Linked DNA regions of Macaca mulatta. The protein of the gene in region 1 binds, or shares a complex with, the protein of each later gene. Links are inferred from orthologs where the notes say so. Each region holds a gene or a part of one and is shown in the gene's direction. Other genes may lie near its edges.

Region 1 (5,270 bases):
AAAGAAACAAGAAACAATATATTGAATGCCTTCATCCAGTCAGGTTTTCATTGCGCATCTCTTCTGTGCCTGTTACTGTGCTGGGGACACAGCAGTGAACAAGATGAACCCAGCCCCTGCCCTGCCAGGGTAATAGACTAAAACAAGTAGCTAGGGTACAACGTGCTGAGTGACTGGAAAAGGGAGAGGCAGGTGGCGGAGGCTCACAGGGCCCCCCTGAGCAAGGGTGAAGTTTATAGTGAGGAGCTTTGGGAGGGTTTTTGTCCATAAAAGGAAAGTGACTTGCCCATTTTCACAGACCCAGACAGTGGCCAAGCTGAATAGGGCCCCGACTCACATCCAATTCAGGGTCCCCTTTGCCTTCCTCCACCCCTGCCATAAATGCCACAGTCTCTCAAGGAAGCAGTCCTCACTCTGCCGTCACTCGCTGTGTGACCCGGAGAGCCTTCCTGTGCAAGATGGAGGTTGGATTTGATCTCCAAGGGCCCTTTCGTCTTGCTAGTCTGAGTCTATGTATTGATTGAAAAAACAATAATAGCGGTTGTCACAATCGAGGGCCAGCTATTAGCCGGGCCCTGTGGGAAGCACTTACAGTCATCATTGCTCAAGTTCACAGCAGCCCTGTAGGTCTGTGCTATCTTGATCTCCATTTTTAGAGAGGTGCAGAAAGGTGAGTGACTTGCCCTGGGTCACTGGGCACTCACTGGGCACGTGTTTTTGTCTGTTGAGGGTTGGGGGTGTCTAGAACCAGGGCCAAGTGCAGACAGTCTGCACTGCGAGTGTGGCAAGGGGTAAGGGGGAAAGACAGATTTTCCCTACTTTTTATTTAGCAAACATCTCTTCCGCTGCTGTTATGTGCCAGGTACTGGGCTGCTGGGGGATCCCAAGTGAGCAGAGTCTGTTTTCTACCCTGGAGGAGCTCAGAGATAAGGAAATAGATAATTACTGTGTGATGAGACTCCAGACAGAGGTGGGTGGCATGTGACAGGGATACCTGACACAGCTGAGTGGGTGGCGTGGGGCCAGGGTGGGTGACTCCAGGGGCTCTTCAAGCTGGGGCCTGTGGGGTAATGGAGGAGTAGGCCGGGGAAGTGGGGCGTGTGCTTCTGGCTACCGAACAGCCTGGGCAGAGCTTGTCAAGGTCACGGAAGGTGGCATGCTGGGCAAACTGGAAAAACATCAGCCCTGCTGAGACCTGGGCGAGGCTAATGGGCACAGATCTGTTTCCAGGCTAGGAGTGGGTTCTGGGCACCTAATAGATTCCCAGTAAACATCTGTCGAATGACTGCGGTGGACAGGAACAGGGGAGGAAGCAGTCGGGAGACGTGCTGGTGCCACTTCCGTCCCTCCCTGGAGGCCCTCGTGCCTCTGCTCCAGGACTGGCAGCCAGGAGGTGGGAAAGGACCCTAGGACCCCTGTTGTAAACTTCTGGATCTTGGAAAATCAAGACTAGGGGTCAGTCTGATGGCCTCTGGTCTTGGAGGAGAGGGGAGGGAAGTGGGGAGACTTTCTGTCCACACAGCAGGGACATCTCTCCTGGCCCTGAGGGCAGCTTTAGCCAGAGCCTGTGGCCACCCCAGGGGATTTTCTACTCCCTTTTTGAGACTAAGAAAGAGGGAATTGAGGCTGTTGATTTTCAGACACTAGAAAGGCTTGTGTTCTTCCCAGAAAGAAAGGGTTATGGGGCCCTGGAAGATGCCCAGGGTGCAGCCAAGGCCCAGGGGTGCTGAGTGCTGGGTGGGCCAGAAGTCACACCCTCTCACCTTTGACAAATACCACCTGCGCAGCAAAGCACTGTGGTGAGGGGCAGGCTCTATATTAGGAGTCAGAGCTTTGCTTTTGGTTATGGGAACTCACTGGCTCTTCTCCAGCTGCAGATTTGCTTTCAGCAAATGAGGGATTCTGATACCTACTCCAGGGTTGCTGGGAGGGGCCCCACGGTACCTGCGACCCCTGGGGAATGCCCAGGACTCATGATTCTGTCCTACTCTTTGCAGGGTTTGGCATCTGCACGTCCTTCCTGGGCATCTCGTGGGCACTGCTCGACTACCACCGGGCCTTGCGCACCTGCCTCCCCTCCAAGCCCCTCCTGGGCCTGGGTTCCTCCGTGATCTACTTCCTGTGGAACCTGCTGCTGCTGTGGCCCCGAGTCCTGGCTGTGGCCCTGTTCTCAGCCCTCTTCCCCAGCTATGTGGCCCTGCACTTCCTGGGCCTGTGGCTGGTACTGCTGCTCTGGGTCTGGCTTCAGGGCACAGACTTTATGCCGGACCCCAGCTCCGAGTGGCTGTACCGGGTGACGGTGGCCACCATCCTCTATTTCTCCTGGTTCAACGTGGCTGAGGGCCATACCCTAGGCCGGGCCACCATCCACTTCGCCTTCCTCCTGACTGACAGCATTCTCCTGGTGGTCACCTGGATGACTTATAGCTCCTGGCTGCCCAGCGGGATTCCCCTGCAGCTGTGGCTGCCTGTGGGCTGCGGCTGCTTCTTTCTGGGCCTGGCTCTGCGGCTTGTGTACTACCGCTGGCTGCACCCTAGCTGCTGCTGGAAGCCCGACCCTGACCAGGTAGACGGGGCCCGGAGTCTGCTTTCCCCAGAGGAGTATCAGCTGCCTCAGAACAGGCGCATGACACGGTTAGCACAGAACTTTTTCCCCAAGGCTAAGGATGAGGCTGCTTCGCCAGTGAAGGGAGAGGTGAATGGCGTCCTTTGAAGCAGGATCAGACCCAGCTGGCAGAGATGGAGAGTGACTCTGCTGGCAGAAGGCAGGTGAGGATAAGCTAATGATGCTGCTGTGGCCTCCATGCACTCAGCAATAATGGGACGCCTATGCTGGGCCGGGCACCAGGGATGGTGCTGAATGGGGCAGAGGCCTGCCTTAAAGGAGTTCACAGTGAACAAGATGAGAAAGGCTGGGCCCTGCAGGGTCAAGAGCCCCAATTATGTACAAGACGCTTTGGGAGGAAAGAAGACTACCTTTTCTTTTCCCCCTGCCATTGGTATAGCTGGTGCCCCAAAACTTCCACCTCCCTGGCCACTTCTAAAATGACTGGTATAGGTGCTGCCCCACCCCTTAGCTCCCCTATCCTGGGCTAGAAGGCCACAGGGGCTGTCCTCTAGAATTCTTCCTCCCCTCCCCCACACCATTCCTTCAATTCATGAAAGAAATCTTCGTGGAGAGCAGTTTATATGCCAGGAACATCATTCTGTCCTTGCAACCTGGAACAAGACCAGCTACCACCCCAGCTTCATCCCCTACTTGCACCAACCAGTCCTGGGTTAGATCTCAAATGCCAGAAGCCAGGGATGCCCAACTCTTGGTGGCCCCAGTTAGAACCTCTGAGATCTCAGTGAAGCTGGCCTGGCCTCTGCTCCTGCTCTCAAGGGGCTGCTTTTCAACCGAGAGCCTTGGGAGCCTGGTCTGAGCCTTGTACAACCACTGAGTATTTTTTATTCCTTAGCCAGTGTACCTCCTACCTCAGAGTCTGTGTGAGAGGAAGAGAATGTGTGTCCCTGTGGGTGTCCGCAAGTGTCAGACGTGTTGTTTTTAACAGTATTACTAGGTTATGATTAAAGCCTCATGAAATCCTCCAACCTAGTCTGTGTCATCGAATGAAATCTCTTATGGAGTTCAGAGCCTGAACTAGAAGAGGTCAGGGGCATAAAATCTACCTCTCAAAATTAGTCAGGGTCCATGAACAGAGAGGTCTGGCTTAGGTGGGGCTTCTCAACCTCGTGTTTGAAGTTTCAGGAGCTGGTGAGCCAGCATGGGGTTGACAGCTCAGCTGGAGATAAGAATCCAGATCTGGGCTTAGTGCATCCCTCTTCACCACCAGCTCTGCTGCTGGGCCCAGCAGGAGTGGCCACAAACACATTTAGGGCCAGGAAGTGAATATAGGAGCCTGGTGAAGAAAGGTCTTGCTGGGACCTCTGAGACGTTAAGTAATGAGGTGCCTTAGGGGATGCGAATGTGGTGGGTGATGGTGCTGGGGAAGTGGAACCTTTTGCTGTTCTAGGAGGTCTGTGGTTTGGAGAAACAAGGGACAGAAAAATCTCTTGAGATAGAGAAGAAAAGGTTCCAGTCACTGCTGTGATGGGATCCAGGATAGTCTCAGCTCTGTTACTATTCTGGTGGAGACACAAAAACCAGGATAAGTAAAACATTTAGTATATCAGATAGTGTTAAGTGCTGAAAGAAAAAGGGAAAGGGATAGGGAGAGAGAGTAGGTGTTTGTGTGTTGGGGGTGGGAATTACAACTTTATATAGAATGGCTGGGGAAGGCCTTCCTGCAAAACGGGTAAGCTGGTTAGCAGTGACTTGGGGGTGGCCTATAAATGTCATGAGAAGGAGCAGAACCTGGAGTCACTGGTAGCTTGAACCACTGTGACGGAAGGAATGATGCAAACAGAATTCCACAGGATGAAGAAGGACTTGTAACCACTCTGTTGGCCTGGAGCTAAAGATGACCCAGAGATGAAGGGTGGGAGCAGGAAGAGGATCTGGGAAGACGATGCTAGTGACTTTTACATACAAGCAATGGTTAGAGGCAGAAAGGATCCTGCAGATCATCCTGTCTAGTGATTTTCAGACTTTTGAATATCATGTACCTATAAAATGGCCAACATGGTTGAAACTTAATTTTAACAAAGAAAGGGCATTAAAGACTACCACCATTTGGCTGGGCATGGTGGCCCACACCTGTAATCCCAGTACTTTGGGAGGCCAAGGCGGGTGGATCACCTGAGGTTGGGAGATCGTGACCAGCCTGACCAACATGGAGAAACGCCATCTCTACTAAAAATACAAAATTAGCCAGGCGTGGTGGCGCATGCCTGTAATCCCAGCTACTCGGGAGGCTGAGGCAGGAGAATCGCCTGAACCCGGGAGGCAGAGGTTGCGGTCAGCCAACATCGTGGCATTGGACTCCAGTCTGCACAACAAAAGCAAAACTCCGTCTGAAAACAACAACAACAAAAAACTACCACCATTTATTTTCATCATCTCATAAAAGGACGTACCAATCTTAGAACAAAGGACCATTCTTCTAATTGAATACATGTAAACATACACACACACCTGAAATTGCAGGAAGAGATGGAGATGTTTATCTCCTCTGTGCTTGGAAATCAATACTTCTAATATTTGTACTTATAACTGAGTAAGGATATAGCAGCTAACGGGTTTGCTTCAACTAATGTGCACCTAATGAGGAAAACATTTAATTACTAAAATAGGCAACTTCCTCTTTTCTGGGGAATTTTTGGAGAAA
Region 2 (5,179 bases), on another chromosome or scaffold:
ACTCCTGGCTGTTTTGCACAGTTTCATGTGTTTTGTGTTTTGAAACCGTGTGTGGTCCCACAGTTGTGCCCTCAGAAGCCGCCGTGGCTGCCATGAGGTAGGAGTGGACTGGACGGCCACGGTGGCCCCCCCCGTCTTTCCCGTGCCATGCTCTTTCCAGCCGGGCCCCATCACTCCCCCACACGCGGAAAGGAAGTGGCTTCCCACCCGTCCTGGCCGGGAGTCCTGTGGCAAGGCCTTCCCCAGGGGCTGCCCTTCCAAGTCCCCTGGGCACTAACAAGGCCCCCGCACTCTCCCTGCAGCCGGCTTCGTCCAGGCGCCGCTGTCCCAGCAGAGGTGGGTGGGGGGCAGTGTGGAGCTGCACTGCGAGGCCGTGGGCAGCCCGGTGCCCGAGATCCAGTGGTGGTTTGAAGGGCACGGTCCCAACGACACCTGCTCCCAGCTCTGGGACGGCGCCCGGCTGGACCGCGTCCACATCCACGCCACCTACCACCAGCACGCGGCCAGCACCATCTCCATCGACACGCTTGCAGAGGAGGACACGGGCACCTATGAGTGCCGGGCCAGCAACGACCCGGACCGCAACCACCTGACCCGGGCGCCCAGGGTCAAGTGGGTCCGCGCCCAGGCAGTCGTGCTAGTCCTGGAACGTGAGTGGCGGGCACCGCCCTCCCCACCTCCTTCATTTTCCCTCCTGTGCCGCTCGCCTCCCGGCTCCTGCTCCGTAGAACCCAGACGCCTCCTCCCCTCTCCGTCCCGCTGTGCCCCATGGGCCCACCACCTGGACAGAGGGGCCCGGATCTGAAGAGGGTGGGCTCGCTGCTTGACCAGCAGTGCTGGCAGCCTGGCTTGGGGAGGGCAGGGCTCTGCCCTCCAGCACGTGGGTCCTCGTCCTCCCCTCGACCCTCCTCGTGCCGTCTGTTCCGCCGTTCCTTTCTGCTCCCCTGGGCGCCTGCCCAGCTCCCTCCCTTGCGTCCGTGCTGCAAGCCTGAGGGGCCTCCGAGCTCAGCCCAGGCTTGCAGGTCTCGGAACCTTCTGTGTCCTTCGCAGCGTCTCGTTCTAAGGGATTTTCACATTTCAGTTCCTAGTGGGAATATTGTAAACTGACCAAGAACCAAGAGATTTGCTGGTTGGGGACTGGCAGAAGAACGGGTGCTCCCAGCACTGCTGGAGTGCTGTCAGCCTGGGGTCGGGGGGTGTGGAGCCACCTGGGTGCCACCTAGAGAAGGGCATGGGAGCCTTGGCCAGGGGGTGCTGTGGCTTTTTTTTTTTTTTTTTTTTTCCTGGAGACGGATTCTTGCTCTGTTGCCCAGGTGGAGGGCAGTGGCACGGTATCGGCTCAGTGCAACCTCCATCTCCTGGGTTCAAGCGATTCTCCTGCTTCAGCCTCCCAAGTAGCTGTGATTACAGGCACGAGCCAACACGCTTGGTTAATTTTTTTGTACTTTTAGTAGAGACGGGGTTTCACCATGTTAGCCAGGCTGGTCTTAAACTCCCTACCTTGTGATCCGCCCACCTCAGCCTCCCAAGTGCTGGGCCGGGATTACAGGCGTGAGCCACCGCGCCGGCCGGCTACGTTTTTAGAAAGGAATTTCCAGTTTGTGCTAGGGCTGCTCCAAGAGCCTGATGCCCCGGTCCTGGCTCAGGGACGTGAGTGGTGCCTTGTCTGTCCCCACATCCCGGTCCCAGCCTCGTGTGTCTCCGGGCAGGAACATCACCAGGCGGGGCCGCTCGGTTGCCAGCGCCTTAGCCCAGGGCCCGCCAGCTGCCGGCGAAGGCCACCTTCCCGAAGGGGCCTCCTCAGCAGGCGCTTGTGGCTCTTCTCTTCCCGGAGGCGCGGCCAGAGTTCCCCCTGGGCTTCCAGTCTTCGGGGTGTCAGGGCCACGGTGTTTTCGGGAGTGAAAACAAGCCCTTCCCGGGAGGAGCCACAGGTTCCTGGGGGTCAGGCAGGCAGCGCGGCCGTGCTCCTCCACTCTGCTGACCGCATCTCGCCGGGCCTCGCAGCCGGCACAGTCTCCACTTCCGTAGAAAACATTGGCTCGAAGACACTCCTCACCTGCTCCTTGAACGACAGCTCCACAGAGGTCACCGGGCACCGCTGGCTGAAAGGCGGCGCGGTGCTGAAGGAGGACACGCTGCCCGGCCAGAAAACGGACTTCGAGTGAGTGCCGGACCGCGGAACGCGACCACGTGCCCCTTCTCACAGCTCTCTTGCCGCGAGTGGCCTGTGGTCCGTGAGAACAAAAGACTGGTCGCCAGGCTCGATCCAGGCGGAAGTTAGGGACCAGCTCCACTCGGACCCCCAGAGGGAAACTCCAGGGAGGGGTCTGAGGGCGCCCTTGGGAGCCGGGTGGCTCCAGTAGCCCTGACAGGCGTCCCTGTTGCTCCCTCGCCAGGTCCCGGGCACAAAAGGGCGCCACACTGCCAGGCCCCGGGCACACATGCAGGCCTCCCGGGCTCTGTGCTCCTGACACAAGAGGGCGCCACACGGAGCCCTGCCCGGCTCAGCCCCCAGACGCTGTCATGGCCAGAGCCTTGTCATCACTGGAGCTGGGACGGCCCTGGGAGCACAGAGCCTTTTGTTTTGAGGCTCACTGGGAAGACAGTCCCAGGGTGTGGGGTGCAGAGCAGGGACCAGAGGTGACGGGTTCGTCGTCAGGGAGAGGGTCCTGTTTGCTGGTTCTCTCACCTGGAGGGTCTTGGCAGCCTGGCTCTGTCCCTGGGGCCGTATGGGGACACCAGGAGTTTTGTTGAGGTTCAGACTTGACTGGGACAGTTTGACTTTTTCACTGTGCTGTGGTTGGGCCCCTGGAGAGCCCTGGGTCCTGGGAGGCGTCCTGCAGAGCCGGGCCCAGCTCACCGCCTGCTGTGGTTGCAGGGTGGACTCCGACGACCTCGGGGGAGAGTACTCCTGCGTCTTCCTCCCCGAGCCCACGGGCAGGGCCGACATCCAGCTCGACGGTGAGTCCTGCAGCCAGGGGTGCCGGGCGCCGCCGACTATCGGGGGAAGCGGTTGGCCTGAAGCACCCGGCACATCCCGGAGCCCTGCCCTGCTCCCTGGAGGGGCACAGCCCTCGCGCTGCGGGGAGCCCTGTGGTTCCAGGCTCCTCTCTCTCTCAGCCCTCCTGTCAGGTGCCCCCAGAGTGAAGGCTGTGAAGTCGTCAGAACACGTCAGCGAGGGGGAGACGGCCGTGCTGGCCTGCAAGTCAGAGTCCCTGCCCCCCGTCACCACCTGGGTCTGGTACAAGATAACTGACTCTGGGGACCAGGTGAGAAGCCAGGGCAGCCAGGGGTCCCGGGCTCAGCCCTCAGGACCGGGGGAGGGGCCTAGGTCCGGGGTCCCGGGCTCAGCCCCTGTCCTTGGTCCCCCTAGGTCATCGTGAACGGCTCCCAGGGCAGGTTCTTCGTGAGTTCCTCGCAGGGCCGGTCGGAGCTACGCATCGAGAACCTGAACATGGAGGCCGACCCCGGCAAGTACGCGTGCAATGGCACCAGCTCCGAGGGCACCGACCAGGCCGTGGTCACCCTCCGCGTGCGCAGCCACCTGGCCGCCCTTTGGCCCTTCCTGGGCATCGTGGCTGAGGTGCTGGTGCTGGTCACCATTATCTTCATCTATGAGAAGCGCCGGAAGCCCGAGGACGTCCTGGATGGTGAGCCGTCTGCCCTCCTGCCCACACGCCCCGCTCTTGGGGTGGTCCGGGGCCACTCCTGGTCAGTCCCTGCCAGCCCCACCGCTGACCCAGAGCTCGGAAGCAAGGAGCCCCGGGCGGGGAGTTGATAGCACCCTGAAAGCCAGTGTGGGATGGAGCGTCCGGTCCGTCCCTGGGCAGCTGCGACTCAGTGGGCAGCGAGACCCCAGGAGGAGGAAGAGGCAGCAGTTCACCCCACAGCCTCACCCAACCCTTCCCTCCCCCTCACGTGGCTGCAAGCCAGTGTCCTCCATGGTAAGCCAGCCCTTGCTGTTCCGCCCGACCTCGTGGCAGCTGCGAAGAGCCCAGGGCCATGGTATCAGGGAGTCCTGGCCTCTGCATGATCGGGCTCGGGAACCTGAGGTCAGCCGTGCTCGGCTCCGGCAGCGCCTGGCTCTTCTGCTCCTCAGGCTGCGTGTTCTGGGGCGAGGCCTGTGTGGGCCTGTCGTGGCGGCTCTTGGAAAGCACTGGGGGGCAGGAGTGAGGCCCATGAGGCCGTGGGGACAGCTTACCTTGGGGGGGGGGGACAGCTCGCCGTGGGGAACACACCGCAGATGGGGAGGGCGGGTTTTCCCCGCACCATTCGGCCTCAGAAGATGCACACGGCCGGGGCTGATGCGCTGCCCTGAGCCACCTGGAGGTCACTGAGGGCGGGGCCAGCAGCACAGATGTCCCTGCTCGGGGGCCTGAGTGGGACCAGCTCTGACAGGCTGTTCTCTCGTCCTCTCTTTCATGGTGGCGGTCCTCCTTCAGATGACGACGCGGGCTCTGCTCCCCTGTAAGTCCCAGCTGTGGGGTTCGGGGTCCCAAGGAGCTGCCTGCTGCCCCAGGCCTTTAAAACACAAAGGCAGAGTCCCCCGGCTTCAGTATTCTGGGGTCCTGGGGGCCGGGGTGGGCAGGGGTGACTTGGAGAGGGTGACTTGTCGGAGACACCCTCTCACCCGGCCCCTCATGCCCCAGGAAGAGCACCGGGCAGCACCTGAACGACAAAGGCAAGAAAGTCCGACAGAGGAACTCCTCCTAGCCAGGTGCGGCGGGCGGGCGGGCGGGCGGGAGCTCCTCCTGAGCCGGGGCAGTGGGCTCCTGGGTCCCGCCTGTGGGCCGCTGGGAGGTGGGTCCAGTCTGAGCGCCCCTCCCTGTCCCCAGGTGGCCCGAGGACGCTCCCCGCCCCCGCGTCTGCGTCGCCGCTGGAGTCCACTCCCAGTGCTTGCAAGATTCCAAGTTCTCGCCTCTTAAAGAAAACCCACCCCATAGATTCCCATCATACGCTTTCGTCTTTTTAAAAAAAGTAGGGTTTTCTTTCTGCATTCAGGATTCTGTTCCTTAGGTTTTTTCCTTTGTGAGTATTTCTCAGAGCCCGGGAGCTGCGGCGCCGCGGCCCGCCTGTGGCTTTCCACCTCTGGGTCTGAGTCACGGCGGGTGGGCGGCGCAGCCTCCTCCACTGGCTGCGGAAGGTCACAGGTCACACGAGGGGCCCGCGTCCTGCCTGT

The links. Proteins that work in one complex are often made in the same cells at the same time.
Region 2: the proteins of XKR8 (region 1) and BSG are in contact, whole or in part, in a cryo-EM structure (PDB 7DCE), measured with the Homo sapiens proteins. The link is inferred for Macaca mulatta from reciprocal best matches to the Homo sapiens genes XKR8 and BSG. Residues at the interface, in NP_060523.2 of Homo sapiens: His232, Leu236, Val239, Leu242, Trp243, Leu246, Gln247, Arg280, Gly283, Arg284, Ile287, Phe291, Ser294, Asp295, Leu298, Ala301, Thr302; in NP_001719.2 of Homo sapiens: Trp326, Pro327, Gly330, Ile331, Glu334, Val335, Leu338, Val339, Ile341, Ile342, Phe343, Tyr345, Glu346, Lys350.

What each region holds. Positions count from the first base shown.
Region 1 is NC_133406.1:212,983,843-212,989,112, reverse strand, and holds the end of XKR8 (XK-related protein 8), read left to right. Parts: intron 1-1,997; coding exon 1,998-2,713; 3' UTR 2,714-3,591; downstream 3,592-5,270.
Region 2 is NC_133424.1:1,222,258-1,227,436, forward strand, and holds the end of BSG (basigin), read left to right. Parts: intron 1-302; coding exon 303-650; intron 651-2,004; coding exon 2,005-2,161; intron 2,162-2,878; coding exon 2,879-2,961; intron 2,962-3,120; coding exon 3,121-3,269; intron 3,270-3,373; coding exon 3,374-3,778; 3' UTR 3,779-3,948; downstream 3,949-5,179.